2 linked regions of the Xenopus tropicalis genome follow. The main gene of each other region encodes a partner of the protein of the gene in region 2 in a complex. Links are inferred from orthologs where the notes say so. Each region holds a gene or a part of one and is shown on either strand. Other genes may lie near its edges.

Evidence for each region.
Region 1: the proteins of mmp2 (region 2) and timp2 are in contact, whole or in part, in a crystal structure (PDB 1GXD), measured with the Homo sapiens proteins. The link is inferred for Xenopus tropicalis from reciprocal best matches to the Homo sapiens genes MMP2 and TIMP2. Residues at the interface, in NP_004521.1 of Homo sapiens: Trp574, Lys576, Asn577, Lys579, Tyr581, Phe588, Arg590, Lys595, Asp599, Phe602, Lys604, Ile606, Ala607, Asp608, Ala609, Trp610, Asn611, Ala612, Asp615, Tyr636, Leu638, Leu645, Lys646, Ser647, Val648, Lys649, Phe650, Gly651, Ser652; in NP_003246.1 of Homo sapiens: Ile162, Pro163, Cys164, Tyr165, Ile166, Pro169, Leu173, Met175, Val178, Thr179, Phe191, Arg196, Asp198, Ser200, Cys201, Ala202, Trp203, Tyr204, Arg205, Ala208, Lys211, Gln212, Glu213, Phe214, Leu215, Asp216, Glu218.

Annotation. Positions count from the first base shown.
Region 1 is NC_030686.2:22,358,771-22,363,801, forward strand, and holds part of timp2 (metalloproteinase inhibitor 2 precursor), read right to left. Parts: intron 1,443-5,031; coding exon 1,334-1,442; intron 1,251-1,333; coding exon 1,126-1,250; intron 1-1,125. UniProt on the Homo sapiens protein: Complexes with metalloproteinases (such as collagenases) and irreversibly inactivates them by binding to their catalytic zinc cofactor. Known to act on MMP-1, MMP-2, MMP-3, MMP-7, MMP-8, MMP-9, MMP-10, MMP-13, MMP-14, MMP-15, MMP-16 and MMP-19.
Region 2 is NC_030680.2:42,693,017-42,698,821, reverse strand, and holds the start of mmp2 (72 kDa type IV collagenase precursor), read right to left. Parts: upstream 3,359-5,805; 5' UTR 3,332-3,358; coding exon 3,194-3,331; intron 1-3,193.

The DNA of each region.
Region 1 (5,031 bases), on a different chromosome or scaffold from region 2:
GTGTGCTTCAGAGCCTTACAACATGTATGTATGTATTGAACTGCATGTAAGATTTATGCCACTGATGACTGATGAGTTATTACTGTGCAAATCTGTTACTATACTGGAAATATTACATGCAGGAGGCTGAGATGGACAGAATTCCCAGTAAAAGTTGATCATCACCAAACAGGGCCCTAGTGCTGTACAAAGGACAGATTGTCCCAGAATATCCTTATAAATGAACAGTGGGACCGTATGAAGCCTTTGATTAATCTGCCCTTGTACTGAATTAGGTCACTGTTTGCTAACCACATTTTTAAAAAATGTGATCCCTTTCCCATCAATATGCCAGGGCTGATGCTGCATGTGAGGTGGCCGCTGTAACCCAGTTTCTATTCTTGGATCAGCCTAGGGGCACACTGGCCACACGTACTACTAACTTTTTTAGGGAATTTTTTTTAATGCACGTGCCCTCTCTAGGACTGGAGAGTAGAGTGTGTGAGTGGCAAATCAGATTTGTAATCACATACATTTTGTATGCATTAAAGCACTCAAAGGAAGGATTTGACATTCAACAATGAAAACTCCAGGATCAGGGTTTAGGCTCTTGGGATGAATCTCTCTATAACTATAACTCTGGGTTTCTATGCAGAGGGCAGGCCCGGACTGGCAATCTGTGGGTTCTGGCAAATGCCAGAGGGGCTGCTGTAAGATGCTATAGACAGTCACTATTTAGGGTCACTTTGTACTTGAAATGCCAGGGCCTCATTTTTGAATATCAGGCCTGGCAGAGCAGAGGGAGTCACTCTGCCGTATTTGCTGGACCAACAGTGCATTGAAATGCTAGATCCATGAAATAGAAATTGCAGTGGTCATTGTGTTATAAATTTCTGAAGCCACTTTGCAATAAATACTTGGGTTTCACTGTTATAAACAGCTGGAAACAAAATTTGTCAGGAAATGCTGTGGCCACTGTAAAATATATGTTTGAGCCACATTCTAATAAATTGTTGTGTTTAAACAGGCGTAGCATAGAAATCAGAAAAGCCAATGTTTGGATTGACATTCTCATAAAACTGCATCCTACTGAACCTTGAGCATCATAATACAGCAATGCTGTTAAGAAGCCATGCATATCCTCACCTTACACTCGCAGCCCATTTCATACCGCTGATTGAGACTCTTTTTCTGAGTTGGGCTAAGAGAATCCCATGGCACAATAAAGTCACAGAGGGTTACGTGCATCTTTCCATCACCATCTGCTTTACCTGAAGGGGCAGTAAATGGAAAGTGAAGGGTCAAGGCAGGAGATAAGATGGCATTATCAAACAGATATACAAACTTATCATACCTGCAATCAGATATTCCTTCTTTCCAGCAATTTCCAGTGTCACCCCGCACACTGCTGATGATGGAGCAGTGTAGATAAATTCTATATCCTTATCGGGTCCCTTAAACATCTGCAAGGATAGGCAGAGCAAATCATAATCAGATTTTAAGGACAAAAATGAGACATACAGGGAGGTTTTCAGATAAATAACTGATATATTGTGCAACATAACAACACTACTATTAAATTCAAAAGCAATTATGAGACCTATTTCTTCTTGTACTGCAATATTTTGAATACTTTTACAAAACTCCCATTAAGCCATCCCCATCCCAGTCTTTATAGTTATAGCAATATTTTGCTGGGAAATCTCAGTCACCACAGCCATGTTTTTATTTCTTTGCAGCCTGCCCTGTGGGTGGAAAGCCAAAGCCACAATCCAAATGACATGCAAGCTTGGGGGCAGCCTTCCTAAGCACACAGTGATGTATTTATAGGTGATGGGCAGCAGGTAGGACATCCCCTGTCTTGTAAGGTGCAAGCCAGCTAGAGTGTGCCATCAGCCCAAGGTGCAGCAGAGCCCTGTACTTAACCATGGAGCGATATCTGTCCAGATCATTTGCTCAACACATATGAACTGATTATCGTATGAAACCTTGTACATGTATGACGAACATTTTTGGTTCTTAAAGCTAACGTGGGTAGCCTTTTGGTTAAGTCCCACACTGCCATGTGTAGTTTTCACTTCCTAATGATGTATCCCACAAAATATGTATTCCACTGCAAAAGTCATGTTTGTGGCTAATTAAAATTGGTTACACGCCAAGTGAGTGTGGGCCTTTCCTATCTATTTTGCACTGGGATGATATAGTCACACCCTGTCCTGGGAACCTTCCTTGCTGTGTTTCACACCTTGCCTCATGGCAGGAGCAGGACTCAGGGTCGGTCTGGACCCTGCCAGGAACTGCAGCCACTCCCTCCACCCCCCATCCACATGGGCGAATGCAGTAAGATAGGCGGTACATACGTTCATCGCCATTGTTGGGCTCAGCCCAAAAAGGTGCAATTTATAGCCCCTAGTGCCCTAGTTCATGATTACATGGATTGCTGCTTGCATTGTATGGGTTCTGCTAGTTTGCAGCCTGCCAATGATCTCTGCCTGGTTATCAAATACCATTGTATAATGCCCTTTGGCCTGGACTCCGGTTCTGCTTTCCTTGTACCAGTCACACTGTCTTACTAGTCTGGTGTCTCAAGTGAGGTAGGCTCTCCATACAGTGTCAAAATAGGCAGGAGCTGGAGATTTATCAGCTGGGACGGTCAAATACTGGCTGGATGGCCCCACTGACCCAGGAACTTTGGCCGGTCCACATATATATATATATATTTTTTTATATATTTGTTGGGTTTTTTTTGACAATAATAAAAAAGGCACATTAAAAAAATCAAACCAGAACTTGCATTTTATTGAACTTTATTATTCTGTCATATGAACATTTCTGCATTCACACTCACACAGATAAATACACTTACATTACACAGTTACTCTGCACAGTACTCAGGCATAACACACTGCATCCACATATAAGTAACAGCTACATAAATACTTATAGAAACCTGTCAGCTTGGAGTAGACATTATTTTTCTTATATTTAGGGTTTATAAGGCTAAAAAACATTGATTACTGTATTTTGAGAGAATGTACCTCTGCTAATGTTGATTGGTACCTGAAAATAACTAGCAGATATGGAAAGGAAAATATATATATATATATATATATATATATATATATATATATATATATTATCTGAATTTTCAGATCATGGAACAACAGCCTCTGTATTAATGAACTCTCCCTACCTCCTCCAGCCAACTATACACGGTCATACAAATGTGACATTTCTGTAGTTGTACTTCATGGTACTTGACGCATAAGGAGGTTAGCCCTGTAACTTATGGGTGATGGTGCTGTGAGTGTGCTCTGCAGTAACACAAACAGCATTGGACAGTGGCCTCCTTCACAACTAGAAGTACATGGACCTCTTGCTTGAGTCTGAGAATCTCGGTACTCAGCAGCTTCAGCTTTTATTTATGGTTCCTTCTTCCGCGCAAGTGGGGGACAGTGAATCTACAAAAAGGAGTTTAAAAGGTTAATTTGCATTTATTATGAATTTATAGTGGTATCTCTCCCTGACCAAGGGCCAGAGACATTCCTCATGCACCAAGAAGATCACAAAAATGTCTGTCCTGTTGTTAGTTATGTTTTACAGCTTGAGCAAGAATGAGCAATTTCAACATGGAAAGCACTCCTGAGATAAAAAGCCATCATTAGCATCTTGGCCATAGAGCATACTACAGGATAGCAATGTTTCAAGGCAGACCCATTACCAGCTACTAAAAATTGCCAACATATTATAGCCTGTCTCACAGTGACCCCTTGTGGTTACATTGTAAAAAAAACACAATACTAATGTCACAACCATCAGATAAATATATAAAGTACAAGTATGGGACCCATTATCCGGAAACCTGTTATCCAGAAAGTTCAGACTTACAGAAAGGCAATCTACCATAGACTTCATTTTAATAAAATAATTTTTCTCTGTAATATTAAGACAGTACCTTGTACTTGATCCTAATTAAGATATAATCCATCATTTTTGGAGCCAAAACAACCTGAACATAAAGTTACTAGACCTGACTTTTACATTCTATGGTCATTTGTATCTGGGATCCCTCCTTTGAGCCATCACACTGGGGTTTATTAACAAACATGGCTCGTCTTTAGGACATTTTATCTGTGTAGCCATTAAGACAAGGGAAAATGCCCTGGCAGTTATCCTCCTACATAAACACAGATTACAGTTAAGTCAATAATTTTTACTAACAGTCTCTTAGGGCCGTGACACACGGGGAGATTAGTCGCGGGATTAATCTCCCCGCAATGCCATCCCACTGGCTATACTGTATACAGCTGGTGGGATGGCATACGCGGCGCCGCAATGTCCCGAAGTCGCCCGAAGTTTCCTCTCAAGACAGGATATCGCAGCGGCACGTATGCCATCCCACGGCCGATTTACATTCTAGCCGGTGGGATGGCATTGCAGGGAGATTAGTTGCCCGCGACAACAAAGATTTGTTGCGGGGCGACTTATCTCCCTATCTGCCACTGCCCTTAAGTATCAAATGTAAGAGATTATACCCAGCCAGGGGCGCTGATACCATGAGGAAAACCTTTTACCAGGGGTGGCAAAAAGCTACTTCTGCCAACTTTAAGAGTTGAAGTTCTGGTTATTTAACCAAAATCTTGGCTTTTCTAGTGCCTTCTGCATTAGTGAAGCAGCCCCCCCCCCCCCCCCCCCCCCCATGACCCGCTACAGGGCTGAATTTCTGAGCTGCCTCAGGATGTCCTAAGGCCCAGAAAGGCCCTTTACCTAGCTTTAAGCATGCGTTAAATAATGGGAGCAGTAAAAAAAGGCTTATGCAAAGGACTACCCAGTATGTTGCTTTGCGCAAGGTGCTACTTAGCTTAAGACAGGGCCTCTGTACAAAGATGCAGGAAAATGAAGTGGTATAAGGAAGGCTTGTGTTAAAAAAAGAACATTCCTCTTTTCCTCAGACTGTACCTGTACCTTATACAAAGGACTAAATCTGTATCAGTACCAGATTTGTGGTGGGTTTTAGTAAATAAGAACATGCCAAAAAATGACTTTGGAAAC
Region 2 (5,805 bases):
GAAATGCAGTGGAGGCTGAGAAGACCTTCACCATGTGGGTCTTTGCAGTGTGAAGAAGGTGTAAAGTAGGTAAATCAGGTAATGTAGTATTTTTTCGCTTGTTCACTTTGGAGTTAAGTTAAGTATGATGGGAAGACCAATATTCTGAGACAATTTTGAAATTTTTTTTTTTAGTTTTTTAATGATTCCAGTTTTTGTTTAGCAGCTCTCCAGTTTAGAATTTCAGCAACTAACTGGTTGCTAGGGTACAAATTCCTTAGCAACCAGGGAGTGGTTATAATGAGAGAATGCAATATGAATAGGCGAAAATCTAAATAAAAAAAAAGTAATAAAAAGAAAGAAACAACAGTAAAATTGTAGCCTTACAGAGCAACCATTTTTGGCTTCTGGGGTCAGTGACCCCCATTTGAAAGCTGGAGAGGAAAGCAAATAATTTAAAAACTATAAAAAAATAAGGAAGACCTATTGAAAAATTGCTTAGAATTGGCCATTCTATAAGATACTAAATGTTAACTTAACGGTGAACCACCCCTTTAACAGTTATTTTAGTACTTTTCCAATTTGGATTAGAGTTATTAGTAAAGTACCACTACTGTCTGTCATTTGTGGCCCTTTGCTTTAATTTCTTTATAAATGACCATGAGGTTGGCATTGTAATAGCTGACGATACTAAATTGTGCAAAACCATAACTTTCATGGAGGTTGTTGCCAATTTGTGGAGAGATTTGACTCAACTGGAGAAATGGGCAGCAATTGTCAAATGCAAGGTTCTACACATTGGCAGAAATATGAACATAAATGCTAGTTATACACTAAATTATAGCTCCTTAATTGAGAAGGATTTGTGGATTTTTGTGGATAACAAAGTGTGTAACTCCAGCCACAGTCAATAAATGGCTACTAAAGCAAATAAAGTACTCTCTTATATAAAAAAGAGCAGGACGCACCTTGAATATGCAGTGCATTTTTTGAGTACGTAAGATAAATATTAATGAGTTGCAGTTTACTTTAGAGGACATTATAGACTGATAGCAGGGAATCTTTTTTCCCATGGAAAACAAAGCCACCCCTTTTAACCTGAGGAGCTGAAATTTTATTTGAGCGGAAGTTTTTCACAGTGGGGGCAATACAGTTGTTGAATAATCTTCTGGGTGATGTTGTGATGGCATATTCTATTAATCCATTTAAGAGTGGCTTGGATGAACAAACATAATATCCAAGCCTAATAGGTTCATAGGATTTACAGTTAGTTTAGTATAGGTAATGGTATATATTGTTTATATATATATTATATATAATAGTGTATAGATAGGTCTTTATATGTCTGTGTATAAATATGCAATGGGGTTCATTTGCAAGGGTTAAACCTGACGGACTGTTTTCAACTATGTACCAAGACCAATAGGCTTTATTTTCTACTTTATCATAAAACGCAATTACATTTGATTGACATTATCTGTCCCTCATACATTCATTTATATTACTATTTGTAATGTCATTCCCAGAAAATAATCTTGAATATGATCCTTTAAAGAGATTTTGTCGTGATTTTATGGTGTACTTATTTCTAAATTACACTGTTTACATAGCAAATAATTCTCTCTACCATTTAAAATTTTATTCTCGAACCAAAAAATGTATTTTTTTAGTTGTAAAATTGGTGTGTAGACACAATTTCAGTGTATTGTGCCTGAGTCTGAGCTTTTCGTAAGAGCCAGTGCTACACATTAGAACTGCTTTCAGATAACCTATTGTTTCTCCTTCTCCCACGTAACTGAAGGAGTCCCAAGCCGGACTTGGATTTCTTACTATTAAGTGCTATTGTGATCTATACTGGGAGCTGCTATCTTGCTACATTCCCATTGTTCTGCTGATCGGCTGCTGGAGGGAAAGGGAGGGGATGATCTCACTCTAACTTTCAGCTCAGCAGTAAAGTGTGACTGAAGTTTATCAGAGCACAGGTCACATGGCTGTAGCACCCTCGGAAATGAGGAATATGGCTAGCCTCATGTGAAATGTCAAAATTAAATATAAAAAAATCTGTGTTTTTGAAAAATGGATTTCAATGCAAGATTCTGCTGGAGAAGCTCTACTAACTAAAGCATTTAAAAAAATGCTTGCCCACCATAGGTGTCAACTTATAGACCTATAATTGCCTATAATTGCCATCATATTACTTTTTTTTATATATTAGGATCACATCATCTTTTATTCAATCCCATACGTACAATAGCTATATCCATAAAAATAGTGGTAAGTAATATCACATGTGCTTACTGATTTTGCTTGTGTCACATGACTGACTAAAAGAAATGTATTACTAAAAAGAATCCTCTTTTTCTAAAAAATAAAAATATGGAATCTTATATCCTTTTACACAAATAATAATAAGTAACTAAATTAGTACCTTGTACATGCTGGTAACCAAGCAATCCTACTTGTTTAATTTAAAGGTTAAATGTTGATTAGAAGATTTCAGGTATGATGATCCAAATAATAAAAAAGAAAATTCTAGTTCTCCTGCATTCTCCATAATTGATCCCACACCACTATTAAAAGCTAAATCAGAGTTCCATTATCAATAACCACCCAAGAATCCACCATAACAAGTTTTGTTTTGTGCACTGTGTGAGCAGAATAGATTGTCCGCTAAGATTTGCTTGGATAAAGAATGATGCTGTTGTTATATTATGCTGGGCTATGTTTCATTAAAGAAGTACAGGAGCAACAAAACATTAGAAAAGATCAGATTTTGTTTCCTGCAGTAAACCAAGTATCTCAGCAACAAAAAAACATTTGGGGACTGATTTATTAACTATAAACTTCCTAAAACATGGTAATCCTTGTATTTTGATTAAAAAAATGACAAAAACCCATCCCAGTAAAAAAAAAAGGTCAGAAAGAAAAACTTTTGTTTTTTTCTGTTCAGCCCAGTCCTCTTGAAAATTAATGAAACAACCCCCTAGTTTATACAAATGATCTCTGTCCCTTGACTCTAACATACCCCTATGCTTATCTGTATTATAATTATAATGATATGTAGGCTGAAAGCACAGTAAAACTCCATTCAACAAACAATCCAACAAAGAAACTTTCTGTTCTTTTAGTATTTTTTTACCTTACAACAAAAAAGTAGCTGAATTATCCATTGGTACATGGATATTACAACTGTACAATGAAAGAGCCAACTTACCGCAGCAAATTCAACGTCTGACTTTGGAGATTTGTCTCCTGGAAACTTTATAATAGGAGATGGTGCAGAAGAAACATAATAAAATGTACTGAGACTTTTGAAAATGAAGACTAAAACATGAACATTAATAGTCCGCATGATGCAGCCTGAGTATCTGCCGAAAACCTTTATGGGTCTGTTCTAATAGATAAATGGACTGTTCATTCCAGTTGTCTGTATTGCAGTTTCTTTGTATGGAGAGCTATCCAGATGTACATTCTGCTGCTACCGCAAGAGGAAGTCTGGAAACATGAGAAGGGGAGAGGCCAGATGCTGCTGCCAAGTCTGTTTAACTCAAAGCTTGCTGGCAAAATCTGACATTCCTGTAAGGGAACTGCTGCCCCACCTCCACTTTCTTCACAAGTGGATAGTCTGAGTTGATTCAGAATAGCAGTACTTGTAATCAAAGACACTAAAACTATAAACTGGTTTCAGTGTTTGAATCTATTCATTAATTAATTTCTAAGGGACAAAACAGGCACACTATGGAAGCGTTATTCAATTTTAATTTTTATATTCACAGTTTTTCACATATGTAATGTAAATATTTGTGAGTGATTGTACAGAAAAAAACAAGAACATTGTATATTATGGGAAGTAGTAAGAAGCCAACAAAAGTCCTGGCATGGAACAAAAACTGTAGTGCTGTGTTAGCCAGTAGCAAAAATAATAAATAAAACCTACCTGTACTCACCTACAACCCACAGCTGAACATTATGAGAAAAATAGTCAGAGACCTGCAACCCATGCTCCATACAGATACCAGACTAAAGGAAATATTCTCTGATCTACCTCTATCCTGTGCAAAGATCAAATTGCAATACAAAATACATACCGATACACAAAAATTCGACACCATTTGAGACTGCTATTCTTGTGCTTCCTCCAAAGTGTTGTACATGATCATATGTACTAAGTGCTCTACAGGATGAATGTATATTGGACAAATAAGACAAAAACTTTGCACAAGGATGAACCATCACCAACATGAGATCAATACCAAAGTGTGCGATACACCAGTGGGAACACTTCTGCAATTAAAGGAACAGTAACACCAAAAAATTTATATATTTAAAAGAAATTAAACTATAATGTACTTCTGCCCTGCACTGGTACAAGTTGTGTATTTGCCTCAGAAACATTACAAGAGTTTATATAAACCCTGCTGTGTAGCCATGGGGGCAGCCATTCAAAAGAAGAAAAGGCACAGGTTATATAGCAGCTAACAGATAAACCCTGTAGAATACAATGGTGTCTTATCTGTTATCTGCTATGTAAACTGTGCCTTTTCTCCTTTTTTCCAGCTTGAATGGCTGCCCCCATGGCTACACAGCAGCGTATTTATATAAACAATAGTAGTGTTCCTGACGCGAACACACCAGTTTTACCATTGCAGGGCAACAGTACGTTATAGTAACATAGTAAGTTGGGTTGAAAAAAAGACATGCGTCCATCAAGTTCAACCATAATGCCTATATATAACCTGCCTAACTACTAGTTGATCCAGAGGAAGGCAAAAAAAACCCATCTGAAGCCTCTCTAATTTGCCGCAGAGGGGAAAAAATTCCTTCCTGACTCCAAGATGGCAATCGGACCAGTCCCTGGATCAACTAGTACTAAGAGCTATCTCCCATAACCCTGTATTCCCTCACTTGCTAAGAATCCATCCAGCCCCTTCTTAAAGTTATATAATGTATCAGCCAGCACGACTGATTCGGGGAGGGAATTCCAGAACTTCACAGCTCTCACTGTAAAAAATCCTTTCCGAATATTTAAATGGAACCTCCCTTCTTCATAGTTACATAGTTACATAGGGTTGAAAAAAGACCAGTGTCCATCAAGTTCAACCCATCCAAGTAAACCCAGCACACCCAACCCACACCTACCAATCTATACACTCACATACATAAACTATAAATACAACCACTAGTACTAACTGTAGATATTAGTATCACAATAGCCTTGGATATTCTGATTGATCAAGAACTCATCCAGGCCCCTCTTAAAGGCATTAACAGAATCTGCCATTACCACATCACTAGGAAGGGCATTCCATAACCTCACTGCCCTCACCGTGAAAAACCACCTACGCTGCTTCAAATGGAAGCTCCTTTCCTCTAACTAAAGGGGTGACCTCTGGTGCGTTGATTGTTTTTATGGGAAAAAAGAACATCCCCCAACTGCCTATAATCCCCTCTAATGTACTTGTACAGAGTAATCATGTCCCCTCGCAAGCGCCTCTTTTCCAGAGAAAACAACCCCAACCTCGACAGTCTCACCTCATAGCTTAAATCTTCCATCCCCTTAACCAGTTTAGTTGCACGTCTTTGCACTTTCTCCAGCTCATTAATATCCTTCTTAAGGACTGGAGCCCAAAACTGCACTGCATACTCAAGGTGAGGCCTTACCAGGGACCTATAAAGGGGCAAAATTATGTTCTCATCCCTTGAGTCAATGCCCTTTTTTATACAAGACAGCACTTTATTTGCTTTAGTAGCCACAGAATGACACTGCCTGGCATTAGACAACTTGTTATCAACAAAAACCCCTAGATCCTTCTCCATTAAGGAAAC